Mytilus edulis: one gene and its partners. The protein of the gene in region 3 purifies or fractionates together with the protein of the main gene of each other region. This does not show direct contact. Links are inferred from orthologs where the notes say so. Each region holds a gene or a part of one and is shown on either strand. Other genes may lie near its edges. The genes, in order: succinate--CoA ligase [GDP-forming] subunit beta, mitochondrial-like; succinate dehydrogenase [ubiquinone] iron-sulfur subunit, mitochondrial-like; iron-sulfur cluster co-chaperone protein HscB-like.

Region 1 (11,163 bases), on a different chromosome or scaffold from region 3:
AGCTGTGAAAACAAGGCTGCCTTAGTTATTATAGGAATGTAACTTAAAAAGTGTTAACACATTTTTAGGTTATTTCATTTAGACAAAAATATATTACAGTCATTCCTTATAATTTATTTCTATAAAATTCTATACTTTAGGAGTAAATCATGAAAAAACATTGATGATTTCACAGTCACATGACAAAATAGTCTATGAGCTAAAAGACAAAAAAAACTTTCAGCTGATCAGTAGAGGAGATATGATACATCAAAAATTCAATTTAAAACAATTAAGTTTATCATTAGTGTAATTAGATTTAAAATGATTAATTTAATCATTAGTGTAATAATATTATCACTTCTAGACTGAGCTAATAGAATTTTGATAGTGCAACTGCCTCTTGAATAACTCCTGTTTACACTTTAATATTGAATCACTGCAGCTGATTGTCTATATATATATATATACAATGTCCATAGCAATGAATGTGTTGTGTAGCGTTATTTACCCTTATCTGCGCATCTATTACATAGTTGTCGCAACAATCTATTTTTGTTAAATTGAAAATCAGAAATGTTGTTTTGTTCTAAAAATAGGGTACTGAAAGGGTCCCTCTTGATTGAAAGTTTCCGTTGCTTAAGGTACATGTGGTGATGAAAACATTTCAATATTTTCTGTCTTTATCAAATTAGCGTTAGCCATATCGTCATAATTATTTTCGTACTTCTCAGGATTTAACAAACCACTTAGCAATGAATTAAAACGAAAGTAAATTTCCAGGGTTAAAATTTTTTGTTACAGCTAATGCATGGCTTACTAGCCCAGGACTTATAAGCAGCTCAGTATTTTACTAGCCCTGATGTACATATCTAAGCCAAGGGATAGCAAAAATATTAGCCAATTAAACGAATTAGGGGAGGTATATATCAAGGACAGTGCAAGATAACGGTTAATTCAGGAAACAATGCTGACCAGAATGTTCTAGTTTAAACCTTTTCCATGTGTATCAGTGGTCTCGCTAGCCCAAAATAGAAGGGCGCCGCGCCCTGGGTGCCCTCAGCTGCACCCTGGGTGCCTTCATCCGCGCCCTTCTGCCCTGACGTCTTTTTCCAAAATTATCTTGTGCCGTTTTGGTAAAATTTTGTTTCATCGATTTCTGATCTCCAAGTTAATTACATATATGACACCTGTGTGATTGCCCCCAGGTTAATCATTTTATTACAATCAATTACAATGATAAAGACTTCAAAGGTGTTAATAACTAGGTAATTTAATTAGGACAATGTATCTTTTTGTCATACTTTTGATGAATGTGTCAGCGAGTGTGTTTAGCTTGGGTCGGCATTTTCGATCTCCAAGTCACAATGGAAGAGTGTATATAAATGAAGACTTTCATGACTTTAGAATTGAATTTAAGTCATCAAAATAAAACTATGCCTTTACAGAAATGCCTTCCATCTTAACTTGTTAGCGACAAGCACAGTTTTTAATTAACCCAAACGTGGTGGAAATTGATTTCGGAGTTACTTCCCCTGTTTTAGCTTATTACAAATTTGTGCTCTAAAAATATTATCTAGTACCAAAAAAGGGAATAAATTACCAATTGAATAATAATTTATAATAGCATAATCATGTTATCTTAAAGATATTAACTGTCTTTGAACATATTAAAAAATATATATTGCAATTTCTACTTGATAATTATACTTTTAGCAATCCATGTTCTAAACATTGTTAAATTAGTAATGCTCTCTGTTTCAGTTCATATGATGTTTTCAAAGCTATAATTCCTATATAGATAAAAAAAAACAACAAAAAAACAAAAAAAAACACATATTCTTTGATAATTGGTAGAGTGAAGTTGAACTGTAAAAACATAATATGTTGATGAAGATGTACCATATCAATCATAACTACACAAACAATGAAATAAAGACTATAGTTGAAAAGCATCTTTATTTAAAAAAAACAACATATACAATAAAAAAAACAAAGAGATTCGTTAACTCGTGATACACACAGAAACTTAGACAAAAAAATGAGCAGTGCCTTTTCTTATCATAAAAAGTGCCCTGCCCTCCACTGGCACCCTGCCCCTTTTGATTTCTAGCTAGAGCACTGTGTATCAGTGTTCTAGGATTCCCATTACCCGTTACCCGGGGTAAGTGGATTAGGACAACGGGTAAGTCATTTTTTAGCCTTTGTCACCCGGTGGTAAGTCAATTTTCAAGTTCGGGGAAGCCGAAAAACTCTTGAAATTTCCCGGTCCTCTTCAATTTTCCCATATCTGCTTTTTATTTTTATTAAATCACGAGAAAAAACTTTGATAAAAGATCGAAGATTTTGTCGATGTCTATCGGCGCTTTTATTCAAGCACTCGTTTACTAGGTGTAATCAAGCGCAAAAGAGACCACATTCTTCACCTATCATTCTAAAAGTCGGTCACGGTGTCGGTAAAATCGGAAAATCCGGATTGATAACTGGTGCTAAAATCGGGACATAAACGATTTTTTTTCTTGTCATCGGAGGAAAATAAACTTACAGTTGCATTTATTATAACTCTTAATAAATGACATAGTAATAACTATAACATATTTGTCAAATTTAGTAAGAAATCGTTTTTTTTTAAATTTTGTACAAAATTCAATCGTATCCGAATCCAGCTTTGTTCAGACAAACTTCACAACATATAATTTAAAGCATGTCATAAAAGTTTTTTGAGCGGCCCCCAGACCCCCGGCCATAAGGGCGGCGAGCTTTGCGCCGTCCGCATTGGTTGGCGGATTAAACTTTTAGATGTGGGTAAGTAATTTTTTTATTGATCTTACCCGTGGTAAGTCAAGGTGCCAAAAAAATCCTAGAACACTGTGTATGTTTACATTTTTAGGTATCGGGATCGTTCGCCCTGATTACATGTTCGCCCTAGGTTTGTTCGAACTGAGTTTGTTTGCCCTGATAGTCTGTTCGCCCTGGGTTCGTTTGCCCTATATTATGATATAAATATCTATATATGTTACATCAATGAACAATATATATATATATTAAAATTTATGTATATCTATTAAAAGTTAAATACAGAATATTTGCCAAATTTATATTAATTAAATAACATTCTTGGCTGCATTGTTACACTTTATTTTATAATTACTTTTAATTACTGTTGATTGAATTTTGATTGCTGATTAGGTGTCATTTGATACCTTTGATATCACTGATTGTTATATGAATTGTCTATAAAAAAATTAAAAAAAAGGATGGGTAAAAACACTGATGACAAGTGATCATGTACAGCAGTGTGACTGCGTTTTTGGTATTTGTTTCACTAATAGTAATTCTATTTAGTGCTTTTAAATATTCGTTTAGGAAATAAATGTGTGTGAAGTACAGTTCGGAATTGATCTTGTTATAACTGTTACTGAATATTTTTAAATTGTTAAAATGTATCAAGAAAGTTAAATATATGAATAACTTAGTCATGTTAGTCTTTAGTGTTTTATGTCAAATACTTTGTAGTCTTTGAATTCACAGAAACTTATCCTCGTAGCAGCAAGACAACAACTTTGTCTTCAGTTGTTTTACATTTAAAAATACAATGTAGTGCTGAAATTCACAGAAACTTATATTTCCTAGTAACGTAATTACATACAGATACAAACTTAGTCCTCAATACCTTGAAGTCACAATATCTTGTAGTCCTGAAATGTACTGAAACTTATAACTTAGTATAGCAGCTAGCTTTAGACAAGTTAATATGATACATCGTAAATATTCGGCGAAATTGTAGACTGACTTCAACACATTCAATTATATACACACAACGCAACACTATACTAAAAAATAAAATCAGGGCGAATGGACTCGGGGCAAACAGGTATTAGGGCGAACAGAAACTAGGGCGAACCAGAATCAGGGCGGACGGACCCGGATTCACATTTTTATAGTGACTGGTCACCTTATCGGCTTGTAGCCAATTACACGAATTAGGGGAGGTATATATCAAGGACATTGCGAGATTAATTCAGAAAACAATGCTGACCAGAATGTTCTAGTTTAAACCTTTTCCATGTGTATGTTTACATTATTATAGTGACTGGTCACCTTATCGGCTTGAAAGTCAAAACTTGGTAATGTTGATAGATGCTATAAAGTGTAATTTTGTTGAAGAACATAAGCAATCAGGCACCTGATATAATCAAATATATATATATTGTGTTGGAAAATAAATCAGATCTCATTGACATTTACTTTATTCCACAGTCTTTGCAATAAACCGTGTCTAACTGACGTTCTTATCATTTTCATGGGCGCAGCCATTTTTCTCGAAAAGAAACTCAAACTCTCGCGATACTTCGAACTTCTTTTGTACAAACAAAATAGTCCTATGATTATCAGCAACACGATTGTTATTGCCGTCAAAAAAATGAAAAAACATACAAATTCTGCTCATTAAAATTAGTAAGTTTTTGAATTGATGATACTATATCTTATTTATTATCGCTTAACAATAAGTCTAAATTCATCCGCAATACTTTCTTCTGTTCATCCTGGGACTTACAAGATTTTCATCCTGGCTCTTCTTTGATCACCCGTACGAAAACATTGTAAAATGTCAAAACCACGTGTTTATCAGCTGTAATATTGTGTGCTTTTACATTTTCAAGTTCTGATAAATGAAATGATTCCGTGGCTTACAAAATCTAAATAAATCAATATCAATATGTTGACAAAATTATAAAATCAAAACAAATCTGTTTATGAGTGCATAAAATCACTTTCAATCATAAATTTTTATAAACTCAACTGCATTGTTTAAATTATTAATTGGAACATTTGTTAACATGTATAAATAATAATTATCTGTAATATTTAAAAGCGCCATTGTAATAAAAGAGAGAGGCGAAAGATACCGAAGCGCCATTTAAACTCATAAGTCATTTTGTAAGTCACAAAAAATAAATACACCTTAATATCGCTTTTTGTCCCCCATTAACGGATATCAAACAGGTCCCCGTAAAATTTTGAAGTCATAAAACAAAATGTCTGACACCACAATGGACAAGTGATTGTTGTATGAGGTCAGAAGTTCAAGCAGCTGGGAATAGCGATATAGGGTGTATTGTCAACGCATGGCTAAAAAAGAAAAAAAAGACTGACAAACAATTAGTTCACAGAACACAACATAGTACTAAAGACTGAACAACATGATCGTCACAAAAAACTGGAGTTGATCTCATGTGCTCTGGATGGGTAATTAGCAGATCCACACATCTGTCTGTATATATTTCGTATGCAGGCACTGCTGGAATGTTGCTACATGTACATAGAAATTGAAAGTTCACAATTGGGAAGCTGAAATCATCCCTTTTGTCCTTAAGTTTTGTAAACAACCAAACCTGCCGTCAACAAAGCCAAATTTGTACTGTGTAGAACATATTAAAATAGATCCAGACATGATTCTCGCTACATTGAAGACCCATTGGTTGCCTTTGGCTGTTGTTTGCTCTATGGTCGGGTGGTTGTCGCTTTGACATATTCACCATTTCCTTTCTCAATTTTATGACAACATATTAAACAAATGAAAAAGAAAACCTACTATGGCAGATAATTGCAACAATCTTTATGAAATTGATATATTTGAATAATAATTAATTTGATTATATTTATCATATATTTTTCATACATTCCACAATTTAAAGCAACATAGACATGATAGAGGAGGAGGAAATGTCCTATTGACATTTTACTCCTATATGTACAAATGTAGATGGGTTTTTTGGCTTGAAAATTGTAACAACCTTAACAACTTTGGTTTTATATTCTTATGGTACAAAATACTTTATTTTAAAAGAAATCTAACATATTATATCATACCTAAAAATACTACTGTATTGTATCCTTATTCCTTAACCATGTTAACTAAAAAAAAATGCTAGTGCATTTTATCCATGATAGTAAAAATAGTAGAGTTATTTTTAAACTTGAGTGGAAAACACTAGACTAGTATAATTATTAATACATGTAATTTTCTCCAAATGAAAAATGCATGTCCTCCATTTTTATAGATTACCTTCAACATGCTCTATTATACATTTTGTATTTGTCTTTCTAGAATTGCTAGTAAATCAATAAGGGTAAAATTCGGGAGGATGATTTACACTAGGATATTTTAACCTGTGGAAAGCACCAGCTATTTGTTAATAAGTGACACTGTTTACTGTCACATATACTCTCAGTTACGGAAAGACACCATGTAAGGATCTTTTTGAATTCTAACCAAAATAGATGTACAATGTATTATGGAGAAGCAGGAGATTATAAATGTATTAATTTCATTATCTTAAAAAATGAATGAAAACACAAATCTTTACCAAATTCAAATTTCCATTGATTTTCATAATTGATTTCTATATATATATACACTGAATTTGAAAATCCAAGATAAAAAATATATTTAAGATATGGCATTATAGATAATTAATGAATCTTTATATTGCAGGTGTTTTTTATGGAGACAGCAAATCAGGAAACTTCAGAACCAGTTGTACAAGAAATATGTACAAACGGAACATCAGAAATACAATATAATGAACAACATGACCTAACACAGTCTACAACGTCTATAGAAGATGTTACAATCAATGCAAATTTACAAGGAGAGGCCATTGACAATGGTGATGAAGGGGAGACAATTCACAAGACTCATCTTTTGAAGATAGAGGTACCAGATGGGGAAGCAGATTTAGAACAAACAGATGTAGCTGTTGAGGAATGGAAGGACATAGAGAACATTGTTGACATGGATCCATCTTCAACAGCTGGGTTCCTTATTCTGTCAAAAGAAGCTGCTGGTAAGTGAAAATTACACTGAGGGGTCAGGGTGGTAGGCACGGTCTCAAAATATGATTTTGGGTACAGACAGATGTGAGACTGGTATTTTAAAATAAAAAAATCATAAATATGTACATTGCATTAAAATCTTGAGAATCTGAGATTTAAAACTAAGATGTCTCAGATTCTTAATTTGTAAATACCTGGTGAAAAAATACTGATCTTTGGTAGGAAAACTGACAATCCTAGTCAATAAAGCATGGAGTCAGGCACACAAAATTGCAATTCATTGTTTTGTTTTACATTTAATAAAAAAAATAATCTGTTCCACCCACACATCTTAGTATACAGTCAGATTAGAGGAGTCCCCCTATAATATCATTGCTTAAGTTTTGTTTAAAACATTATATGGTTCTTATATAATTTTAGCATCCCTTGGAATGGATTCTATTGAAAATACTCAAAATGGAGATGAACCTGCAGCCAAAAGATTTCGTATTGAAGGTGGTGATGGCCAGTCTTATGTGCTATCTGTGGCTCCAGGTAGATGTATATATGAATAGCCAAAAAGTGCCTAAAAATAGCAACACATGACATACAACACTATGAGAGTGTGGATTAATCAGTACAGAGACTAATTCAATTACAAAAATAAAATTATAGAGTGCCGAACAATCATTAACAATGTTATTTTAACACACGTAATAAATAATTTAGTATGTAAATATTAGAATGTTTAAAATATTTACAAAACATTAAAAATAGCTAAATATAGATATAGTTTGTTTTTTTTATAAATCTGAGTCAACTTTTCTCAGTGTTATGTTAAAATCATAACAAATAACTATACAAGTGCAGATTTTATACAGACAGTCATACATTTTTTCTACTATCTTTCTTACATTTGTGTTTTACAACATATGTACCTTCGAATTCTATAAGACAGCATCAAAACAACGCAAAATAACCAAAAACAGACATTTAAAAGAAGTACCATATATATATAGCATTTAAGACATTTCATTTCTGTTACAGAGGATACTTTGACAACTGATGAAACCATTGTAGAAAAAGTGGAAACAGTTCAGGTAAATTTAATGATGTATAAGGTGGAAAAAAATAATTTGATAGGCATACAAATTTAACATGGGAGAGAAGGAGAACAGTCTTTCTTTTCCCCCAGATTTCGATGCAAGTTAAAAAAAAAAAAAAAAATACCAAATTTTCAAGTTCTCAACTTTTCTTTGACTTTTTAACAAACTTCAGAAAGAGTAAAGAGGGTTGTTCATAGTGAAAATGTCCTGTGAACCATTTTTGTTTTATTATGCAAGGAACAGTTCACTAAACTATAATAAATGAACTTGCAATAATTTGAGATTTGAAATAACCTTTTTGTCTGTAAATGATTGAATTAGATAAGTTAAATTAATCATAAGATAAGTATCATAATTTTATCGTGTATCTGATTCACAGTATTTCAATATAATTTTTTAAAAATAAGTTTGTTTTATTTTCCGGAATCCATTTACTCCATGTACATGTATGCAGAACCATGTGTTTTCTACTAAAAAATTTTTTTTTATTTATTTCAATAGATACTCTTTTATGTTTAAGGCAACCAATGGATCAGTCTTATTGAGTGCAGGAGATGCTGGAGGCCCTAAACAGTCAGGTTCTGGGAACAGAAAAGCTTTAGAAAGCTCAGATATTTCTCAGGCTTGGTTCACAACTAGAGATGAAAAGGATGCTCTTCATAGCAAGGGTATACACATTAATGAAGCATATGAATAAAATAAGATTTGAGGGAGAACTTCATTGAAATAACAATTCAATAATGATAAAACACAAAAAAAGATATTTGACATAAGGATACAGTCTAAATGGTTTATGAAGTATCAATAATTATATTATCTTTTAACAATTTGGGACAAAAAAGATGTTATTTGAAAAATAGTCTAAATTTAAGTTTGAGGTGATCTTGAAACAGCTTCCCTTTGAGATGATCTTGAGTATTTCTGACTATTGGAAATGCAATATATAACAGATTGAAACTCTTATCAAAACACACTTTTAAAAGCAAAAATCATAGTTTTACTGAATAAGGTGCACTTTGATTTTATTGATTTTTTTTAATATGTCTTTAAAGGTGCAACATGGAAACAAGGACAGTGGACAAAGGAAGAAGTTGCTGTATTACAGCAGAATATTAACAGTTATTGTGCAGTAAATATTTATAAATACTATGTAGTTAAACTTTGACCTTTATTGGGGATGAATTTAGAGATAACTGTATTGTATTTGAAGCTTTAAGGACGTCCATCGGTAGTTTTACTGTCGCAAATTTAGTTTACATGGCAACACGTAGTAGAGACAGGTAAACAGGTATTTGCCACAGTAAAACTACCGATGGACGTCCGAAAAGCTTCAAATACAATACAGTTATCTCTATTCTAATGCAAAACAAGTTCATAATTAAATTCCAATAATTATTTCAGTGTAAAATCTTCATTAAAGAAAATTCCACGAAAAGATGTTATCTTCTTTGGTCCCTACATTAGGTGACGTCATAGGTATGCTTCCAGCGTCAAACATAAACACCAGGAGTTTCTGGCTTCTTTGCCGCTTCAGAATGTAATGAAATTTTATAAAAAGAAGATTTGTAGGTGCGACATGTTAGTTTTTTGGCTTTTTATTGTAGAAATTACATGTCAATACATTCAGCAATTCAAAATGTCGGCTACCTTAGTTACAGACAAGGAGATAGAGAATTTTACGCTAACTGTCATCCAATCAGAACCATTGATACAAAATAATTGCATTAGAATAGATAATAGCTGGATTTCAAAGTTTGAAGTTCTGGATTATTTTCTTGATATATTAGACAACATTTGTTTTACTGACACACATTTTATTTCAAATGTTGTAACTCACTGCAAGGCTTTCTAAAATGTATGTAACACTGTATTTCTTTGTTGAGCTCTGTCCGAAAACCAAAAATTAATCAACCAAATTCTATGAATTTTCACAATAACACTTTTAAAATTGTAACTTTCATATGATGTCATAAATACTTGTCTACCTGTTCTTAAAGGGAAACTTCGCAAAAAAATCAAAAATTGATATTATGTTCATTCTGTATAAAAATGTTCAAATTCATAGATATTAAAGTTTTATTCCGCTAGATAAGCGATCACCATCGATTTTAAATTTAGAGTATCAATTCTCCGAGATCCGCCATCTTGTCTTCTTTCCCGATGAATAAAAACGATATGTCTATAAACCACAAAGAAACAAAACTACAGTAACCGATGTAGTCGTAATTGCGTGTCGATATCTTGTCAATCGTACGGTTGTTTAATACGACTAACTAACTTGATACGGAAAATATTCTTACTTTTTTTAAATTACCATGGTCTGTTGTTTTTAAACTGTTGATATTGGAATTAGGTGAAAAGTCAAAGTTGAAATCATAAATAAGTGTTCCGTGAAAATTGTTTTCGAAAATCTAATTTGTTCATAATTCTTTAAAGTAATAAACTTTTTTCAAATATATTTTGATCTTCCCTTATCTGATCACCAACATGGCTAAAGGTATTACTTCCAAAGGTATTGTGAGGGGTGTGAGGTGACACGTCCAGGTATTCAAGCGATTTCCTGTCGGGCTTGCAAGTTCATGCATCGTTTCACTTCTGCAGGTATTGATCAGTGTACACGGCTGATAACTTATAACTTATAACTTTCCATTTTGAACTATCAGATGTATAATATACAACTCTGTCTTACTTGTCATTACTAAACTCATACGCTTGTTTATAAATAACATTTCTGGTGTAAAGAATATAATTCATAATATATAAATAATACCCAAAAAATAAGATTTGATGAAACTAAAATCTATTTAAATATTTTTTCCAAGGGTGAATTTGGGAAAATGTAATATATAGTCATTGTCAATAGTGAAGGACAGATTGGAACAGACCAGAAATATTGATTTAAAAAAATGTACGCACTTGCCGACGATTCGTTTATACGACTGGATATAAAGTTACGGAACTATAGCGCAATTTAAAATATATACGTGTATACATTGAACATAAGAAAAAAACATATATTTTGAATAAATAGGGGTAAAAGTGTTGTAAATAGACTAGCCAACGTATGCCAACAGTATGTAATCATCGAATGTCGATAGACTACAGTTGTATACCAAAAGAAGAAGAGAACCAATTTGATTTAAATACAGGTCGATGTATAACGTTTGCTTTGGTTCATTGAAGCTGTGGACCTAGGAAAATCACAGATTTATATTTCAATAAGATTGTTCTCAAACAAAGGAAGGAATTCGTCATCACA
Region 2 (11,232 bases), on a different chromosome or scaffold from region 3:
CATGCAGAGGAACATAAACAGTTTTATTATTCACCTTATTTACTGTATATTGAGTTGGCTTATTTTTAGATTTGTTTTCACTTTTAGACGAGGAATCAATGAGATCCTTAGCATTATCATCACTATACGATGCTGGTTTGTATGGCTTTCCTGGTCGACATCTTGAAAACAGAAACGAAGACTCCTCATCCCCACCCTCACTTGATCCTCTAGAGTCATCCAATTCAAATCTTACCCTGTGTTGACCCTTGAACTTTCCATCTTCACAAACCCCATTTCTTAAATTACTTTTATGTTCTTTATCATTGGGTTCTAAGGCTTTTTCTGGGGTCAAGGTTAAGTCCAAATCAGGGTCAATTAAAGTGTTCCTGTTTATTTTGGTTGGCACAGGGGCATTAAACTGTCTTCCTTGTAGATTGTTAAATTTCCCTGCTGATGATTTTTCAGGAGTTATACAAAGATCTGGATCTGGTCCAACCAAATTGGCAGCTGTTTTCCATGATGGGGCAGGAACTCTGTATAGGGGTAAGGAATCTTCTGAGCTCTCCGATGTATCCCATCCCGGTGGAGGGAAACGACAGTGTGCCTTGTCACTAAGATTTAATAGCTCATACTGTGAAACAGCCCCATGACCTTTCTCAGAGGCCCTTGTTGTAGGAAATCTGTGTGGGAGAGGTTCTGTTGCTTGACAGATGAAATGTGTTGCCATTTTACAACAAAATCTTCATTTTATCCTGTAAAAAAATAAAAGAGAAAAATTACACATCTTTCTTTTTCTTTACAAAAAATAAAAAGAGTATAGAAAAAGGAAGTATCATTAAATATTTCATTCCAGTCTTATCTATACTAAATCAGTGCTAAAAAGTTATTAATGGAGTACTAGTGTGTCCCTTGGACACAAATAATGTCCATGATTAAAATGTGTACATATAAAGGAACATAAACTAATATCAGATAATGTAAACTAATTTTGAGACGTATGGACGATTAGATATGGTAGATCATCATGATCATAGTATAATGTAAGAGTAAAATTTCACTTTTGGAGAGTGTAAAATAAAATTTAGCACCGAACTCATGTTAAATATCAGTTTGGTATGGTCAAGATGTATGGTTAAGTTAGCATACTTTTAAGAGAGTTACTCTCCGTAGCTAGTTATTATGTTATCATATGTATGTGCAAATTGCAGTCTGTATTTAAATTGTTTATTAGTTTGATTTGTTCTCTTGATTTATTGTGACCATAGATGTACATGTGTTTGGAAAATAAAACATTAATTTGAAAAGTAGTTTTACTATTTATGCCAGAGTAAAGCATAAAACTGGGTAAAATTTGACAGACCTGAAATTTCAATATGTTAACAAGCTTTCAGAGTATGAATGGTGATTAAAGTGTAAACAGCACAGGTTAAAAGTCAGGTACATGTATGAACAAAAGTTTTCCTGGATAGACTTAATATGTAAGTGATAAGGCAATTTGAGGTGGTCAAATCAGAAAATCGCTGGGGGCGTCTTTTTACCACAGAATACCACAGTATACTCAGAATATACCACAGAACTACACAAATTACAATAAAACTACTGAAATATACCACAGAAGTTACAGGACATCAAAATTACTTTATGAAATGCATATCTGATAATACCGAATCATAATTTCTTTAACTCAGGTTACACTAATCACATGACCAGCCTGCGCCAAAAAAAAATTTCATCTACTAGTCCAGACACAAAATTTCCAAATTTGTCCCAATATGACCATACAAATTTTGAAAATATTCACTAGTCTGAATCAATTTTTACTAGTCTTGGGCATCGGACTAGTGACTAACGGTGCAGACTGTATGACGATTGGCAGGATAAGATAAACATTATCATAACATTTTTGTTATTTGGCATATTTTTTTACATTTGAAATCTAAAATAAACATTTAAAAAAAATGTTTTTCAATAGCAAAAAAAATTATTGCACGGTTTATTGAATATATTTAACTGATCAATTAAAAGTGTTATTATCTATTTTGTTTTACAATATATTTTAGTGATATTAAGAAATCTGCGAGATTATTAAATATGATGTTTTAATCTTGGATCTTATTTATTATAAAAATTGTATTTTTAGAATTATTCATGTTATTTGACAATACTTATGATAATCATGATAATTAGAACAGGAAGACTGCTATCATCATTCTATTTTTTAATTGCCACCTGATTGAATAAGATAATTCAAATAAATGTATTTGGTGTCTCAGGTGTGAAAATATAAATGACATGTTTATTGGCTTGATTGGTGATTACAGAGAGTGTCAAAATTGGTTAATCTAATTAAATTATGGTACTTTAATTGTGCAGGTGAACTTGCTAAGGTCAACATTAATTTTGGACTAAAAAATATAGAAACTACAGAATAGAATAGAATAGAATATTTTTATTTCCCAAATTACAGGGCCCATAAAGGGCATAAAATCAGATACAATTGATTACCACATGTATATATATGTAAATGTCACATGTATGTATACCAGTTTTTTTTCACTATAAAGTTCCAGTTCAACATTTCTAAATGCATACAAAATTTGGTAAAAATCCGAAATATTGTCAAATAATTGAAGAAGATACACATATATACAACCTAATGTTCAGTGATCATGTGATAAGACACTTGAAACAGTCATCAAACTTGAACTTTTTGACAATTAAAATACACACTTATTATATGTTATTAGTGAACTCAAATATTTAATACTGTCCGTTAACAACTTCAGAATTTTTTTTGAAAGTATTTGAATATTAATTTTACTTATCTTAACATAAAATTAATAAAAAAGGGGCAAAAAAACCTGACAAACTAAATAAATTATGGTCCCAATTACAAATATAGATTAGCCATTCAGTAGGGGGCTTTGTGATATAGTGAGTTTTGTTTCTAAAAAATATAATTTATTTGAATAATATATGTCAAATTACAAAAAGAATAGTCAATACATTAACTGGATAATAATGCCTGAAGTATTAAAATTTTGAAGTTCTGTGGTACATTTTGAGTGTTCTGTGGTAAAATGACGCGCTCGAAAATCGCTCCATACTCAGAATCAAGAAAGGGTTTTATAATTAGTAAACAAAAAGTTATCTTATTAATCAATGAAAGCATTATTCAAACAAATGAATGATAGTTTTGGGATATAACATCACTTGAATCAGTGAATCAAATTTTGTAACCGCCCATCCCTAGATTTTCCATCATCTATCATGGAAAACTGCATGGAATTCCATGGAATATTTTTCCATGGAATTCCATGGAGTATTGGAACCTGTTTTCCATGGAAATCCATGGAAAATAAAAAGAGAAAAAAGGAATTAATAATATTTCCATCTGAAACATTTTCCATGGAATTCCATGGAAAATATTTTCCATGAAGTTTTTCCATGGAATTCCATGGAAATATATTACATAGAATTTCTTTTTCCATGGAATTCCATGGAAATATTTCCATCATTTCCTTTTGAAATGAATTGCTCAAATTAACCTTTTGACAATATACCCTGTTTAACAATATCTGTAATAATGAAGATAAAAAAAACTAGGTGCCATGCTTTTTTCGGTTTGGTAAGGTCTTTTGAGTCTTACAATGGTCAGTAATAAGCAATAGACTCAAACATCATTTTAACCTTTAATTCAAACTTATTTAATGTATTATAATAAATACAACAAACAAGAAAAACTTTCAATACTGGTATATGTTTGCACTGCCTTTATATCAAGAAATTAAGGTTATAAATGTCACTTATGTCAGCACCAGGCTTCAGTAGATCCATCTTGTAGAACAGCATTAACCATTTTATTGGAGTTTCATTTCTTCCTCATGATACCTAAAAATAATTTTACTGTTATAAATAAAGAGATATTCTTTAAATAATGGCATTATTAATAATGGTTAACAACTTTAGTCTTTGTCCTAAATATTTTTTTCCATAATTATTGTATATAAATGTCTTCATTGGTATTTTCCATCTATTTAGAACTTAGTGTTGATCTGCAGTTTGCTGTAAAGATACACTTTTTTTTACTTTTATGGATCTATTTCTCATTGGCAACCAATTTCAACGGATCTTAAATTTTATAACCAAATTACTTCATTAGTGGATTATTAGTTATTATAATACACCATATACAGTTTGTCTTGTCTTAATACCCAATCATTATAATTATAAGTGAAAAATCTACTATAGGTGTTTTCATGATGTTTTTATGTTGAACTAAAGGAGCTTGCACACACTTAAAATGGTAGAATCTAATTCAGTGTACTTACCAAAAAATATGCTCTAAATCCAACAGTCAATGCAAGTCATCAGAGAATAAATCTGCACTATTCGATGTCAAGAACTATTTGGAACTATTTAATCTAAGTCCAATATAATTTAAATTTTGCATTTTGTTCAGGAGAGAAGACATCTTTATTTGTTGCCTGCATATCCATTGCAAGTTCAAATTTTCAATGTGTTGGGGGGTGTATGAGGAGTTATCTGATTTCTTTTAAAAGAGTCACAATTGAATACTGTTATTTACCAAAATCTTGGATATTTTATATATATTTTAATAAAAGATTGTCCATTTATTGTTTATTTACCATTTTTATGTTTTAAGTAATAATAATTGCACAAAAATGTATAAATCCATGTTCTACCCTACATTTGGCCTCACACTGTATGGTCATAACATTTCCTGTCTTCTACACAAAGACCAATGAAAACCAGATGGCACTTTACATTTCTTTCACTGTCTAATTGATGATAAAGAATTAATGTATGTAATTTGTGTACATTTTTTCCATGACTTTCCATCTCAAAAATATTCTAAGTTAAGATTTTATAATGTTTCCATGTTAAAAATATTCTAAGTCAAGATTCCATCCTCTTTTCCATCTCAAAAATATTCGAAGTCCACTTTCCATCTTCTTTTCCATCTACAAATTTTTATTAGTCTACTTTCCATCCCATTTTCCATCCAAAAAGTATTTTTTCCATGGAATTCCATGGAAAGTTTTCCATCTTATCATGGAAAATGATGGAATAAGTAACACATATAAGTTTTCCATCTGACATGAATTATTTTTCCATGAAATTCCATGGAAACTCATGGAAAAAAACAAAATTTCCATCATTTTCCATCATTTTATCATGGAAAAAGTTGAACTGCATGGAAAATCTAGGGATGGGCAGTTTCCAGGGGGTCTCATTGGGGGATTCCGATCCCGGATCCCGCTTACTGTTTTGTCAGATTCCTGTATCCCGCTTACACTATGTACGTAAGCAATTCTCATTTTTTTGTCATTTCCCAGGTCCGCTAGACCTCATTTCCCGTTTTCCCAACACAATAATTTGACTTTCAAGTGTCACGCTTACAAAAAATCAGCAATCCCGCGTCACGCTTAGACCCCAATGAGACCCACTTTCCATTTTTTTTAAGTTATAAATCAGTGTACTACTATAGCTACATGTATGCAATATATAAAGTAGTTGACCTTGTGTTCAAATCAATTTTTCTTAATCTGTTTAAAATATTTTATATAATAATGACATTTAGAATTAAAAATTATATAAACAATACATTTATACAAGTGCAGTAAGTATACAACGTCAACTGTACAACAAGTCTGTGCCTGCAACAGAGTCAGAGATCCACAGCAAAATTCGCCTACGTCAAAAATACCTAGTCGACTTAAGAACGCTTTAAACTAATATCAAACTTGGTCCCCTTTTTTTATAACACTACAGTCGATTCTTACATTCAACATATTAAACAGGAAAGATATTTGAATTTTGTTAACCGATGAGCAACAGTCGCCATCTGTAAACAAAGCAAGGTAATAATCTCTTAAAGGATTGTAAATTCTCAGATACAAATTTAGATAATGCAAAATACCAAATAAATATATATATATGATAAGAACGCTATGAACTTTAAAACTGAATTTGCTTTCTGGTCTGTAATTTCCCCAAAAATAATCATGCTTTCGAATCTTGTATTGATACTTATGCTATTTAATTAAAAACATTAACACTGTCTTACCTTATAAAAAACTTTTATTTGGTACGTTGTTGTCTTTATAATGTTTTGTGGTATTTTGTTGTATTTTTTATGATTTTCAGGAGAATTGTCTCAGTGATAACTTTCACCAAAAGTTCAAGGTTACAGGAAACGACAAGTGCGCTTGAACGGAATTACATAAACTACATGTAGATCTGCAAAACAGAAATGGCTAGTTCGACAGTGGTCAAGATAGCTCCAGTAAAAAGAGCCTTATTGCAATTAATTCAGGTATTATTCATGACTTTTGATATTGACTCGTTCATTTGGACTAACAGAAATAGCTCACAAAAGGAGAGGACAGGCAGAAAAAAAGTAGAAAACTGTTCATTGACATTGACATAATTTGTAGGTTTCATAACATTAATTTACTATTAATGTCAAATCGAAGAATATACAAATTATGTATTTGTAATATGTCATCATATATAATTTTTTATTAAGGTTCAACCTGAAGAGCTAATCATGAACTGTTTTAAAATATAAATTCTTGTTTATGTAATTTTGGCATTTTCATGATATCACTGTTTATGTAATGCAAACAAGTTTAATGATTCTTAATTTAGTCTTTAGTTTAATTTAGTTTTCATTGTGTTATTATTGGTTACCCAGAGTACCTGAAAGAAAGAGATAACATTAACCTTGCGATCACAAATTATACTTGTATCACAGACACAGTTATATTGTTACCATTACTGATCAGTATATAATTTATTGGTATCAGAGTTTTATTTTGTCTTCCAGTTATCAGCAAGTCCAGTATAATTTTGTCTTCCAGTTATCAGCAGTACATACATTTACATGCATGTTATATTCATTTGTAATTTTTTATCGTATAATCATATGATATTGTGTTAAGAATATTACAGATGTAAGATGATATGACTTATTGACACATGTTGGAAATAGATGTACAGTTTTTTCTTGTGAGAAACTTGCATAAGGTCATGTTTTTCTCTGACTTTTAATGACATCTTTACACTAAATCCATTACATGGAGATCTTGTACTGATTGATAATTTAGTCACAGATGCCCAGAGATGCAAACAGTTTTTTTTTCCTGTCAGACAATGGGGCCTACAGGGTACCAAGTTTTGCCAGACCCATCAAATTTCTGCCAGACCCATATTTTCACTCAAAAATCAAATGAAATTATGCTATTGAACAAACGTTAATTTTGATTTTGTTGATATTATTTTATCGGCCATGACATATTTCCTGAACTTATCAACTATGCTTAATAGACCTCCTTCCTAGAGAGCGAATTTCTAAAACAAAAAACATGACGGAAATACGGAGAATTGTTCGGGGCGAGATGGACAAGGTACGAAAGACTATTACTGGGCGGAAATACTGGTTCCCGGAGTTAGAAAATGCGGGGGAACAGGACATTTACTTTTATTAAAGATGATCGCAATTTTATAAACAAAATACTCTGCCGGGGCCGACGGGGATTTCAGTTTTGGCGGACTTAAATATTGCCGGCCATCAGGTCCTGCACAGCTACGAGTTTTGCCGTACCTGCATAAATTCTGCCCCTTAGGTCCGACGGGTCCGACGATCAGTTGCATCTCTGGATGCCTGTTTTATTTATTAGTTGTTATTGTCTATGAACAAGCTGTCTGAAATTTGGAGTATTCTCAGATCTGTACTTATTGTTATTTTGTTGTTGGGATGTACAAGTACATGAACATGTACCCCCCCAAGAGAAAATAAATCTGGAATTCCACTGGAATCCCGGCTGGAATTTTGATGGGATTCCAAGTGGGATCCCACCTTATTCCACCGGGATAAAATTTCGGGAATCCCGCCAAAAGTCCGGTAATTCCGATGTAAATCCCGGTTGAAATATACTGGGATCCCACTGGGATATTGTGGGAATTCAATTGGGATCCCACTGGGATAAAATTTCGGGATTCCCACTAAATAAGCGGGATCCCGATGTAAATGTACTGGGATAAAATTTCAGGATTCCTGTAAAAGAAGCGGGATCCCGATGTAAATCCCAGTGGAAATATACTGGGATTCCCGGAAAAAAAAGCGGGATCCCAAAAATAAATACCAGCAGGATATACATGCACCAATTCAAATTGCACTGCCACTGGGATTTCTGGGTTATTTATGCAAAAGGATACATGTCATGTTTCTTTCTGTTAATTAAATTGCTGTCTCTGTACTTCCAACTAGAATTGCTGAGTAAATTATGGTAACTGGAATATCTGCATGCAATCTGTTTCGTTGGCAGCTCCATTTAAAAAGATCAGTATATCCCCTAAAAGTATAAAAAAAATCCACAAAGAATCATTTGTTCAATACGTTTTGAAGCAACAAATTCAATAGAAATATTATTGCATGTTAATGTTTATAGAATACAGTAGATTGGAAGCAAGTCCAAATAATTATGAAGTCTTTGAAGGTTATTTTAATTTTTTTGCAAATTAATTACCTTCCCCCTTTTTTATCCCCTGACGATAAATAACTAGCGACTTATTATTTTCACCAAATAAACATACACACAACTGAATTAAATTTTGACATACCTACTTTTTATGCCTGTTATGTGACAAGTTAACAAGTTTATTCATTGTATATGTTAAAAATAAATATATTTTCAGTTTATGCTTTCAGACTTTCTGATGTTGATTTGCTCAGATAAAAACCATACAAATCATAGTTCCTCAATAAATTATTTTCATAATCATTATATGCACATATACACATGTTAAATTAAATTATTAATGCACTTATCTGAAAACATCATCTTCGTCCTGTCCATAATTCAGCGTAAACAAATTTTGATGACGTTTTTACCAGTACACAAACGTCGACGTGACAATCTCGCCCCAAATTATATCGGCCAAGTTGATCTGTCTCCGTAACGGTATTATAAATAAATTAAGGGTATCGCATAAAAGAATTAATTACTGGCCAGTTTTGACTAAATATAAGAAAAGAATACTTTAGTAATCGGCACCTGGTGCATGCGGATAAGATAGTGGCCGCATTATTTAGGACAGTATTTTCTTGGGTCGAACTGGTACAATTGAAAACAAAGCACGTGGTCATCATTTTTTTTTTAACATTTTACATAAGTTGAGAAACCAACGTTTTACGACGTCAGTCATTATCTTATCATTGATGCCGGACGACAACTAATAGAAATGCACTTATGAGAACTTGAGGAACATTAGAAATGCCCAAGCTCGTCTGGCAAAACACCCGTTGACATTTCCTCGGACGCCCTCCAGTATCATTTTTATCGCGAAAATCTCGGCATTTTTCTGACTTATAAATATCTGTCAAACTGAATATTAAGTGACACTTAAATGTGATTGGCTTCACCTGACAGCTTTGGTGTCATACACATTGTTAATTAACACCAATAACCTATACTTGATGTTATTAGAGACATATGTATACACAAACAAAACACTTGCATATTTTCAACAGCATAAATTAATTATGGTTCAGACAATTTCCCGTTTTAACTAGACTGGGATCCCAGCATCAGATAGTTTTCCCGATTGGGATCCCGGCTTTAAACAGTTCCGATTGGGATCCCAGTGTCCGATATTTATCCCGTTTCATCTAGACTGGAATCCCGGCTTCAGACAGTTATCCCGAATGGGATCCCAGTTTCAGATATTTATCCCGAATGGGATCCCGCCTCCGGATGCTTATCCTGGCTTATCCCGACAATTTCACCGGGATTGCATTGGGATCCCGATCGATCCCGTTTTCGTTTTCTCTTGGGCCTCCCATGTTCTCTCTGTTCCGATTAGGGGATAGATGTTTAGGGGCCTGCTAACATGTTAAACCTGAAAATTATGTATGTGTCTGTCCCAAGTCAGGAGCCTATCATTCAGTGGTTGTCATTTGTTGCTGTGTTGCATATTTGTTTTTTGTTCATTATTTTGTACTTAAATTGGGCAATACATTTTTTTGTTTGAATTGTTTTACATTTGTCATTATTCAGCCTTATATAGCTGATTATCAGGGACCGTGCTGGGCTTTGTGTTGCAAATTGTGATTATTTTATTTCATCTGGCAACAAATTAAGGTTGCTGACATACATGACATAGATAAACTATACATTGTATATGATGAATATTTCTTTTGTCTTACAGACAAGATGTGCACAGACAGCAGCAGCCACAGAGGTTGCCCCAAGAATGAAGAAATTCTCAATCTACAGATTTGTAAGTTGGAACAGCCATATGCACAACTATTACTTTAAATATCTCTAAATTACTTATCTACATAACGTAACGGTACCCAAATTGCACCTATTTAGCAAAAATAGCAGCGGAAATCTTACAAGATCTCCTAGAGACTAAACAATTTGTGTTTTTATGATTTGATACTGTGCATGTCTTTCAAAATATGTAAAAATATTTAGATATACACAAAAAAATTCACAGTATTTATCAACAGATGAAGTGTTTACTGAAAAAGCAAAATGTACCGAAACGTCGCCATGATGTCATCAAAACGTCATCTTTTTAAGATTAGCAAATACAATATGTTACAAGTATCCATTTCTTAAAAAAAAGAAGAGTAAGCAACGACAAATATCCAATTGTTCAAAATATTTGAAAAAAATAAACAAAAGCTTTGTTATTCGTCTTTTGACAATGCGAATTTAAGCATGGATGCAATTTGGGTACTCCTCATTGCAGAATCATTGATGGTTTAGAGGTTAGTTCAGACCAATTTTTCTATGATTCCATATGAATGGTGTACCTATATAATAAAGAAGGATACGGCTACAAAATAAACACAAAATGGAAATTTTTGTCGATCATAAAAAAACGTAGTTGAAAAAACTGTCAAAATAGGTGCAATTTGGGTACCGTCACGTTATACACTGTATATACCTGAAGAACAGAAGAGTCAGATTTAATTTTTCATGAAAGTGTGAAATTGGAAAATGATGTGTGCTGCACTATAAGAATAAGCAATTTTAATACATGTATATATATATGTAAAGATTCTTTAGAGTATGGAAGGCATGTTTAAATATTATGTGTATTGCAACATATTCATGATCATCCTAATTTATTCCAATAAATTTTTGAACGTCATCTCTTAAGAAGTTTGGTCTCTTTGTTAAAATTATAATGATACTAATTTTTATCAAT
Region 3 (11,517 bases):
GATTTCAGTCATGTATGCATTTATAGAGCCTTTTTTGTGATCAGTCTTGCTGTTTATATCTCTTTAATCTATCTATCATCATGATTATATCATTATTTTTATACGACCCCAAAACAATTTTGGGTTCGTATAATGGTATGATGTCATCGTCGTCCGAAGACACTTTGGTTTCCGGATAATAACTTTAGTTTAAGTGATTAGATCTTAATGAAATTTTTACAGAAGGTTCAATACCACAAAAGGAAGGTTGGGATTTATTTTTGGGATGATGGTCCAAACCGTTTAGGAATAAGGGGCCCAAAAGGGGCCAAAACAAGCATTTTTCTAGTTTCAGGATAATAACTTGTTTACCATTGTTTACCAGTATTTCAATTGCTCTGAAAGTATACTGCAATGTTTAAAATCACAAGTAGAAGGTTTGGATTCATTTAAGGGGTTATGGGGCCAAAGTTTAAGAATTAAGGGCCAAAATAAGCATTTTTCTAGTTTCCAGACAATACCTTGTGTGTAATTGCATGGATCGCTCTGAAATTGTACCACAATGTACCATATAACAAAGGGGAGGCTGGGATTAAGTTTTGGGTTAATTGCCCAAAATATGTAGGAATTAAGGGCCAAAAAGAAGCATGTTTCTAGTTTCCAAACAATCATGACAATAACTTGTGTTTAAGTGTATGGATCTCTGAAATCGTAATACAAGGTTCAATATTACAAAGGAAAGCATGGGATTGAGTTTAAGGGTTATTGCTCCAAGGGGGGTTTCAATAAATTGGGGGGGGATCTCAGTTTACCATTTATTGTAAGGGATTTTTTTTTTTTCAACATTTTATAAATTTCAAATTTTGAAAAGTTTCAATAAGAAATATTCAATTGCACAGTATTGTGCAATAGATGTGTTAGATCTTGAACCACATTAATTTTGTGGCAAAAACCTATATTATGTCAAAAATTTGATCACAATCAAAATTCAGACGGTATCAAGCTTGAATATTGTGACCAAATTTGCCCCAACTGTTCAGGGTTCGACCACTGGGGTCGTATAAAGCTGCGCCCTGTGGAGCACCTGGTTTAAGACAATGTTCTTGTGTTGTACTGATACATCACTGTCTCAGGTTAGGGGAAGGTTTGGCACCAGCCAATATGTACCCCACCACATTCTGTATGTGCTGTACCAAATCAGTTGTTGCTATATATCAAGATTTGTTTATATACATAAATCAGATCCTTAGTTTTCTCATTGAATTGGTTTTCATTTGTAATTTTGTTGCTTTTTATAGCTTACAATGTAATATAGTTTTGCTCATTTTTAAAGGCCTTACATTGATGATAGATCTACAGTTACTGTAAAAAATAAAAAAAATATTGTGAGGTTTTTTATTAATGTGATTAATACGACTGGGTGAGTGTTGCAATAATAAGACCTTGAATTTTGATAACAGAAACATAGATCTTCATGCAAATTTTTTTGTTATCGCAATAATTAAACATGCAACGTTGTCCATTTGTGAAAAATCGCAATAATAAATGCATCCCATAATTTCTGAATTTACAGTATTAACTTCTACATCCTTTGGTTTCTTTTAGAGATGTCTCAACTACACTTACCACACCCACTTCATTAATCATAATAACTCCAGATGGAAATTGACAGTTCTAAAAATTCAAAGTCTACAAATATAGTTTTTATTAATACTCATAAGGTGTCTAATAAAGACATGTAACCAGCTGTTCACACATTTACATCACTCTCTTCCAGCACACATATTTATATTCCACTTCATACACATATACACAAAATAAATCAGCATTATTTAACTTCACACTGGCTATAACAATTCTGCATATTAATTTGGTAATACTTTTACTAGTGTATCACAACCTTTCTTTGTATCAGTTTCATTACATAAAAAAATAACTGGGGTTAATGATCGTTAATATCAAGTAATAAATATCAAATTCTCACTTGATATGAAACCTATATTTATTTTTGAATGTTTTTTTAGATTTGAAGTAGACAGACAAAAATGAGTTAAAGATAGATTTCTGTTATTTTCTCAGGTAGTTTGATATATACACGTATATACATTGAAATAAAATGAAAACTCATAGAAACAAATTAACTTCAAACTTTATATATAGTTAAAAAATAAGATTAAGACCACTCGGAAATGAATTCATTAAATGTTGACACAGACATAATTGTGTCTAGCCCTTGCATTATTTTGACAGAAAAATGTAATGTTGAAATTCAAATAGGTGGGACTGTATTCTAGTTTACCAATTATCTTAATCACAAACTTTGTAGACAATAGAAAAAAAAACTAAGCTAAATAATTAATTTCATCGAGAATAAACGTATCACAGATAAAAATAAACAGGGGTTCCAATCTGATTAAAATAACAGTGGGTTCCTGTCCCAAATGCCTCTGGTATAAAGATAATCTGTGTTGCAAAGTAAATGCCATAAAAAATTATCCTCTTTTTCAAGAATATATCATTTTTTTCCCACCAATCATCCAGGTAGACCAACATTGTAGAAGCTACAATTCTAGGCAATATCAGATCCTATAAACATTCAGTTGCTTTTGCAACAGGTATTTGTAGGTCACAAAAAATCAGAACTGGCCTCTGTAAATTTCTTTGATTTTGTCATCAATATTTGTGAAATATTTGAGTTTTATGACAAGCTGTTTAGCTGCAGTTATGTCCCCTTCCTGAAAGGCTTTAGATACTTGACTTATGTTATCATCCAGTCTTTTCTTGTTTATTATTTCTATAGGTTTGAGTGACTCTGGAGAATCAGCATCAGCAATGTCTTCATTGATTTCCATGATTTCCATTAAGAATTCTTGATCAACATTACTATTCTGTTCCTCTATTGGGTGTCCAGTTTGTTCAAGCATGTATAATGCACGATTCAAAGGTTTAACCAAAGTACTGTAAGCTTTATTTACTAGGGATGACTGCTCTTCAAAAAGGATTTTTTCTTCCTGGAATGAATTTAGTATAATAAAATTGTTAACAGATTGAGAAACACACATACAAATCGTTAACAATATACACAAATAATTGAAGGAAGATATGGGGGCAAATGTCAATTTCAGGCCAGGAACAACAACCCAATAGAAAATTAAAACACAAAAATTGAAAACTAAAAGCAACAATGAATATTGTCTTAAGGAATCAAAAAATATAGAATACCATATATATGTATAAATAATTTGTCTAAACATTAGCCCAACAATTTTAGATTGGTAAATTTGCTTTTGTTCTTCCCTTGCCGGGAGATATCATGACGCCAAATCGCATTGCACTGAGACAGATGCGTTAGACGACTAGACCACCTAGCCTCTTAAAAAAAGAGTTTTCAGCGGCACAGTGTTACCTTTCTGTGATTTTCGATGGGGCCTGGGCGCTAGGCTATTGGTCCTAACTTTTGTTTGGCTGTTTATGTGTCGTGTATAGGAGTGGACAACATATAACAACTAACAAATAAACAGCTGAGCCTTGAGTGCATGATACGCCTGTTGCATTTTAAAACAATGAATTTCAATAAATTCTTCATGTCTTATCAGAGGGTTGTATAGGGGGTACCTTCATGACAAAGAACGGTAAAAGTTCTTGCCAAATGGTGTTAACAGTAATTTTTGGTGTATGGCGATAAAATGTACACCTTCTTTTAGACTATAAAAACATCGACTGATTTTGACAAATCACGGTAAAATTTTAACCAATTTGACACTAACGACAGCTGAAAATGGCTGTTTGACTCCTGACGTAAAAGGGCATTACTACCCTTATATCAAAAATTTGTGAAAAACTAAACATCTAAAGGGAAGTTACTTATTAGATATATACAACAGAGGCAGATTTTTTTGGGGGGGGCCCTTTTTGGAAAAAAATTTGGTAGCTTATATACTAGGGAATCACTGAAGCGTGACTGGAGCGGGCCCCCACTTACGGAAATTTCTGGATCCGCCAGTGAACAATTCACCAAAGTATTATGCAAATTGGTACAAGCATTTTTCAATTAATGACCAAAATGTTGAGGAAGGATGGACGGATAACAGTATACCATAATACCTGCCCTTAACCATGTAAACGGCCATATAAATGCGGGAACTTATTTAAAAAAAAATAGATTGACATATATGAGGAAAGAAATGCCCTTTACCGTCAGGTGTCAAACAGCCAAACATGAACTATTTACCTCTGATTTTAATGTGTGCTTGTCTGGATGCAGCAACTTTTGTAATTCTTTGTACTTTTGTGACAAGACTGCTGTGTCAACATCAAAACTATCACCTAAGCTCATTATTTCGAAATAAGACAATGAGTTGACTGATTGAACAACCCCACACTTGCAGAAAAATATGTCTTCCTTGGTATTTGTTGGTTTTCCACAACGCCAACATTCTCTATGTTGTAGACTATAATTCCTTCGATTTCGTAAGGAGGTTTTGACATAAAAGGTACCCTGGTGTAAACTTGGCGTATGACAATAAAAACTGTGGTATTGTCTAGTTCTTTGATTTGCTATAAAATGAATGTAACATATTTCTTTACTTGAAAATGTATTAATTTGTCTTATATTGGTAGATATCAAATTTTGAAAGGATTTTAATAACTTCATGGGCGCAGACATCTTGATTAACGCGAGAAATATCACGTGTCTTAATGCATTTGATAGAGCAGATATCGTGAGAATATGTTTTCATTTCTTCAAGCGGCAAGACAAGTGTTTGCAGTCTATAGTTTATAAGTATGTAATGGTATCGATATGATATCTAAAGTTCAGCTTTGGCTTAACACCTGTTTTACCTTCAACTCACAAATATGTTTGAAAACTGTATGAAAAGAATATTTCTAGAGATGTTTCGGCCACACTACCATTTCGTCCACAACCACAGGTCGTTTCGGTCACTACCAATTTTCGTCCCATTTCGTCAACAACCACAGGTCGTTTCGGCCACTACCATTTCGTCCACAGAATAGTTCGGCCATATTACAATTTCGGTACAGGTTGTTTCGAAGTCCAATCCCTTTGGCTTTGTTTGAATATTCATATAGACGTATTTACACTTGTATGCAAATTTGACTGCCAATTACTAAAATCACACAGGTTCCCGTGTACACACCTTTATTCTCAATTGAGGTCGTTTCGGCTACATTTCCAATTTCAGCGACAGTTGTTTGGGCCGAAGTTTCAAATTCAATCTAAATTATCTGACTTTTTGGCCCATTTATGGGCATTATATGTGTTTTCTGGTCTGTGCGTCCGCTCGTCTGTCCATTTGTCCTTTAATCCATTAGTCCGATTGTCCCGGATCAGGTTAAAGTTTTTGGTCGAGGTAGTTTTTTTATGAAGTTGAAGTCCAATCAAACTGAAACTTAATAAACATGTTCCCCATGATATGATCTTTCTAATTTTAATGCCAAATTAGAGATTTTTCCCATTTTCAAGGTCCACTGAACATAGAAAATGATAGTGCGGATGGGACATATTCTTGTTTTAATATGCATTATATGTCTTATATTAACAGGCGATAAGTTTGTACTTGAACTCATTAACCTTAGGTCTTGTCGGTTAATATTTCTCTTCTTTGGTATTTTCTCAACAATATGCCAGTTCGGAGATAAGGTAGTTAGTTGAATCTATCATTGTAGCCTCAAACACATGTTGCATGAACAGGTGAAAAGTTTTATTCTATACTGCACAAAATGTTTTGGGAATTAAAATCTAATAATATTTTTAATTTAATAAATGTATGCTAAATGTTTTAAAACTACAATTGTGATAAATTTATAGATCTTGAATACCCCATGGCACAATTAATATATGTATACAAACATGTGTAGCAATATTCTATTTATAGTTTGAATTAAAATTAAGTTGTCTATTTTTAGGTATGAGTAGAAAACAGACTCCCAGTGAGTTTTTGAAACAAATCATAGGCAGACCTGTTGTAGTTAAGCTGAATTCAGGTGTGGATTACAGAGGTATGACAATTTAAAGACAAATAGGACTTCATTATTTTCCGCTTTTTATTTTCATAGTTTTTGAGTCACCTATTGTAGACAATACTGATACTAAACTGAATGTTTTATTTATTAGGGCCCAGCCAAAGGCGGGTCACCCTATAGTGATCAGTCTGTCCGTCCGTCCATAACACTTTGTGTCGGCTCCATATCTAGAGAACCGTTATGATTTCATACTTAATACTTTACATGTTTATTAACCACCACCAGAGGGCGTGTCATGATGTATGTACAACTTCCTAGGTCAAAGGTCAAGGTAAAAAAAAAATGGTTTCAATTGACAACCCTGTGTCCTGTGGTGAAGATCGTGTCCGCTCTGTATCTTGAGAACCGTTATGATTTCAAAGTTTATACTTGACATGTATATGAACCAACACCAGAGGGTGTGTCATAATTTATGAACGACTGCCTAGGGCAAAGTTCAAGGTCAAAAACTTTGGTTTCAGTTGACAACCCCATGTCCTATGGTAAAGATCCTGTCCGCTCTATATCTTGAGAACCATTATCATTTCAAAGTTTTTACTTGACATGTTTATAAACCAACACCAAAGGGTGTGTCATAATTTATTTACAACTTCCTAGGTCAAAGGTCAAGGTCAAAAACTTTGATTTCAGTTGACAAACCCATGTCCTATGGTAAAGATCCTGTCCGCTCTATATCTTGAGAACCGTTATCATTTCAAAGTTTATACTTGACATGTTTATAAACCAACACCAAAGGGTGTGTCATAATTTATTTACAACTTCCTAGGTCAAAGGTCAAGGTCAAAAACTTTGATTTCAGTTGACAAACCCATGTCCTATGGTAAATATACAATTTTTTAATGCATATTATTCACAGCGGGGCCCACAGAGATGGCTCCCATCTCAATGATATCTAGTTAGTATGTATATGTATATTGATGTTTATTTTTAAGAACCCTTTTAAGTACAGTATATGAATTTAAGGAAATGAGAGTACACTCCAATGTATGAATGAGACACTGAGCAAACTATTGACACAACAATCTTATAGAGGAATCCACATCCCAATCTTTTTAATTTGTAAATATTAGTAGCTATGAACAAAAATTCTTGTTTTCAGTAACCCTGAATTTATTGAATATTTTTATGAACTTTTTATTCTGAATACTTCTACTTCTACCAATACGCGGCCACCATCAATAAGTTGATTATTTTGCGCATTTAAAATTTATTTAGACAAAAATAATTAATTAATTAAATTGAATTTGTGCTATACAACATATATACAGTGAATTTAATACTATAAGATAATTTTGAAAGCTAGAAATTAATAGAAGTTCACTATTTGTAAAGGTATAATTCTGATTTTTTTTAAATTACTAGGTGTCTTAGCTTGCTTGGATGGATATATGAACATTGCTTTGGAACAAACAGAAGAATATGTGAATGGACAGCTGAAAAACAAATATGGAGATGCCTTCATTAGGGGAAATAATGGTAGGTTTTTGTCTTGCCTTAACTGAGTCAAAAAGCAAGAGGCAGTTATGCTGTTTCTGGTGGTAGGAATGTAAACTATGTGTTAGTTTGAAATTATGTCAGTTTATGGGGAACCACAAAAAAAAAAAAAAAATTTAAAAGTTTGATCTTCAGATCAGTAGTTGTCAGAACATTGTCACACATTAAACCTGTATAAACTTATATTAATATGAAATATCTACCTACAGTTATTATTGCATTTCATTGTTTCATAGGTGAAACAATTTGTTGATGCGACCAACAAAATACGTAGCTTCATAGAAAAGGGCAACACATTTAGTACTTTAAAACATAAATGAGATATTATTGCTAATGAGAAAACTATCCACCAGAGACCAACTACCATAGATATAAGGATCTAAGACCATCTTATTACATGTCATTTATTCAGTTCTTTCTTTTTTCAGTATTATACATCAGTACACAGAAGAGAAGGATATGACCACCCTGTGAATGGTTTTGGTGTAAATTGGCCCATTATTTGTATATAATAACATTGTTATGACATACCTAAGTTTGTTTGTCAGTAGTACATCATCGTTTTTAAATCATCATTTATGATTCTTTCATCATGATCTGTAAATCTATAAGCATATTTATTATATTCATTTCATTTAACAAATTTCATTAGAAGGATCTGAGCTTCATGCATAAAGTATGTGTCAATATCTTCTTATAAAACATAAAAAGAACACAATAAAATATGAACATGAAGTATATTCTTGTTTGTCATGTTTCTTAGTGTTGATGGTATACTGCATTCAACTTGTCAATCAATAACATTCAGCAGGTACACAGCTTCTGTATAATGGAAGATCTGATGTTTAGTCAATTCTATATAAAGAATAGTTATGTTTTTATACATCTTATTGTGGTGGTTTGGAAGTTGGCATGACATTGCATAGGCGGATCCAGGGGGGCCCTGAGGGGCCCACCCCCCCCCCCCCCCCCTTTTCGTGGGAAAAATTTGGTTGATTATGTAGGGAATCATTGAAGCATGACTGGAGCGGGCCCCCCCTTAGGAAAAGTTCTGGATCCGCCACTGCATTGTGAGTTTTCTCTTGGTATCTTCTGTTTGTTTAAATGCTGCTTCCGCCGTGGCAGAGATAGGATTAAGTTTTACCGGTGTCAGTCTGTATATCTGTCTGTTGAAGGCTGTTACAAAATTGATTTCAGTTCTCTAACTTTAGTTTGCTTCTACTTTTACTGTTCTTGAGTTATGTCCCTTTATAACAGTATTATGCAAGCAGGTACACCTCCATTTATATTTCAATGATTTTCAATTATGCCTGGTAGATTTTCCTAATGATGAAGATGAAAGAATTATAGGTTACTATATAGCCTTTAACAATGTGAAAAAACTCATACTGTATACAGGGGTAATTAGGTGTAAATTGTCCCAACATAAAATAGGATATACTATTCAAACAAGAAAACGTTCTAACAACCCAATTTATAGCAATTCAATTGAAGAAAAATATGATATACAGATTTAGGACCGGTACATAAAGAAGGTAGCATGATTAAAGATGTTTGTGAGTGCTAGAGCCACCTTCACTGAGCATAGAATTTTACATAATATGACAGTATTTATCTACTGTACTATATCCAAACTTTATAATGTTAAACTGTACCATTTAAGTGATAAAACTTTATAATGTTAAGCTGTACCATATAAGTGATTGACAGATTTACCTGGTAGTTGCTTCCCAATGGATGATACTTTCAATCTTCATTATACCTATGATTGGGCAATAGTTTTTCCTCACATATTACTCGGCCTCTGTATTAAGAAATGATTTGTTATATGCGTTTGTGCCTGATTTGTTATATGCGTTTGTGCCTGATTTGTTATATGTGTTGTGTTACCTGTGACTGAGCAACATAAGGTGTCACTTGTTAATAGGGTAACTATATTATATCATGTGTACCTTGCAAGGTCTGCATGTTTTTCAGACGGGGTTAACTTGACCTTGACCTCATTTCATGAATATGTGATCTGTTTTCATGGTCAAGTACTTATCTTAGATACTGTAAGCAGTAGGTCAACTTTATTTGGCATAATAATTGTAATACCAGTAGTACATGTGCAACGGCCATTTCGTCTGACCTTGACCTCATTTTCAAGTTTCAATGGATTTTTTGTTGTTGGTCCATTTCTCAGTTTCTGTTATACACAGGGAAAAGTGCCACGCATGTTTTACACATGTTTTACATATGTAAAACATATGTTTGGTAACGCATGGGAAACGTCTTTTTCCTACCACGCATGTAAAACGCATGTTTTAAACATGCGTTATTCATGCGTTTTACGCATGAAAAATACATGTTATGTAAAACGCATGTTTTAAACGTGCATTATTCATGCGTTTTACGCATGAAAAATACATGTTATGTAAAACGCATGTTTAAAACATGCCTTATTCGTGCGTTTTACACATGAAAAATATATGTGATGTAAAACGCATGTTTCAAAATCATGCGTTAAACATGTGTTGTAAGAAACATGTGTATAATATGCGTTTTAAATGATGCGTATAGCATGTGTGTAACAAACATGCGTATTATGCATATTTCAAACAAATTATAAGATATTATTCCAAATCATCCATAAAACCTTTGTCAAGTTTACTAGTTCACATTCCATATGTTCCACACAACCAAGACGACTTATGTTTACTTTTGAAGGCTGTTCCCTGGACATATAATTGCTTTAATCGGTTTAATTTGGACTCTGTTGGATAGTTGTCCAATTGGCAATCATACAACATCTCTTCATGTTATTTTGACCACAAATCTCCTTTTGACATGTTTGACAAGCAACATCAGAATCATATATTGCAGATCAGACTTCACTTTTCATCAGTCTTTAAAATTTTCCTGTTTAAATACACCAATAAACAAAAGAAATATCTGTAACATGATTTTCATGTTTCTAAATCCTTGATCAGGTACATTTGACACTAAGATGATTGAAAAGACCATGATATGAAATATTTCATGGAATATAAACCGACAATCTTTTGTCTCTGTAGTTTCATTGGCAGTAATACCACAACTCTTTTAAAAAGAGGTCAAAATTGTCTTAAATGGATTTTGTGGAATGTTGTACATGTATTTGACAATTTTTGTTAAAATGTTACTTATGGTTAAACTTTGACAAACACATTTGTTGACTTATGCATGTAATATGAAAAGGAAAACCCCAAAAGTGTATAAGATGTTTCCTCTAGCATCAATTTAAATACAATTTTGAAGTTGTGTCCCTTGTCAGTTTGATAATAACCAATGTCTTGAGAAATCTGAGATTGTATTATTTTTTTAAACATATGTTAAATGAAAAATTCAATAAATCCACTTTAAAGAATTTCATTCATAATTTTTTTCTCTGTTGTCTAGTTGTTGCAGAATATAAATTTTTCAAAAAACTTCCAAAAATTTGATTTCACTCTACTTTTATTTTATACAGCAATCTCAAAACGTTACACAACTTTTTATGTTTTTTTTGTTGTTGACATAATAACAATATCAATAGAATGTTCTATCTTCTAAATGTCACTCTTCTTGAAGTTGTCTTCATCTGAAAAAAAAAATTACATTCATACATTTAAAAACTTAATTTGATTTATTCCCATATACTGTAAGTTGTTAGTTTTAAAAATAATGACATATCCTCAGTGACTTTTTAACATGCTTTTCTGTCTCATTTTGGTCTCTTGTGGAGAGTTGTCTCATTGGCAATAATACCACATCTACTTTTTTATATTTGTCTCGTTTTGATATAACAACAAAGTATTTTATAAATATAAATATTGATTTTGCTATCAGTAAATTAAAACCAAATTAAACATTATTGTTATACACATATGTATGTCATGTATGTTGACCAGTTTTACAAACTGTTGATACCTATATTTTTGCATTGTACAAGATCATGTCCTTATCCTATGATTAATGGCAGTCTATTCTCTAGACTCT

The links.
Region 1: the proteins of iron-sulfur cluster co-chaperone protein HscB-like (region 3) and succinate--CoA ligase [GDP-forming] subunit beta, mitochondrial-like purify together in Homo sapiens (affinity purification with mass spectrometry; 3 studies listed by BioGRID and IntAct, with this or other methods). This does not show direct contact. The link is inferred for Mytilus edulis from reciprocal best matches to the Homo sapiens genes HSCB and SUCLG2.
Region 2: the proteins of iron-sulfur cluster co-chaperone protein HscB-like (region 3) and succinate dehydrogenase [ubiquinone] iron-sulfur subunit, mitochondrial-like purify together in Homo sapiens (co-immunoprecipitation; 3 studies listed by BioGRID and IntAct, with this or other methods). This does not show direct contact. The link is inferred for Mytilus edulis from reciprocal best matches to the Homo sapiens genes HSCB and SDHB.

Annotation. Positions count from the first base shown.
Region 1 is NC_092344.1:74,495,464-74,506,626, reverse strand, and holds the start of succinate--CoA ligase [GDP-forming] subunit beta, mitochondrial-like, read right to left. Parts: upstream 4,345-11,163; 5' UTR 4,297-4,344; coding exon 4,228-4,296; intron 1-4,227. Other genes in the region: cyclin-D-binding Myb-like transcription factor 1, read left to right, coding at 6,488-6,830, 7,240-7,353, 7,846-7,898, 8,425-8,572, 8,957-9,033. UniProt on the Homo sapiens protein: GTP-specific succinyl-CoA synthetase functions in the citric acid cycle (TCA), coupling the hydrolysis of succinyl-CoA to the synthesis of GTP and thus represents the only step of substrate-level phosphorylation in the TCA.
Region 2 is NC_092356.1:48,308,948-48,320,179, forward strand, and holds the start of succinate dehydrogenase [ubiquinone] iron-sulfur subunit, mitochondrial-like, read left to right. Parts: upstream 1-6,143; 5' UTR 6,144-6,259; coding exon 6,260-6,322; intron 6,323-10,218; coding exon 10,219-10,290; intron 10,291-11,232. Other genes in the region: uncharacterized protein DDB_G0284459-like, read right to left, coding at 1-709. UniProt on the Homo sapiens protein: Iron-sulfur protein (IP) subunit of the succinate dehydrogenase complex (mitochondrial respiratory chain complex II), responsible for transferring electrons from succinate to ubiquinone (coenzyme Q).
Region 3 is NC_092347.1:98,516,604-98,528,120, reverse strand, and holds iron-sulfur cluster co-chaperone protein HscB-like, read right to left. Parts: upstream 4,669-11,517; 5' UTR 4,646-4,668; coding exon 4,211-4,645; intron 2,991-4,210; coding exon 2,616-2,990; 3' UTR 1,665-2,615; downstream 1-1,664. Other genes in the region: U6 snRNA-associated Sm-like protein LSm6, read left to right, coding at 5,910-6,000, 7,387-7,500, 7,947-7,981.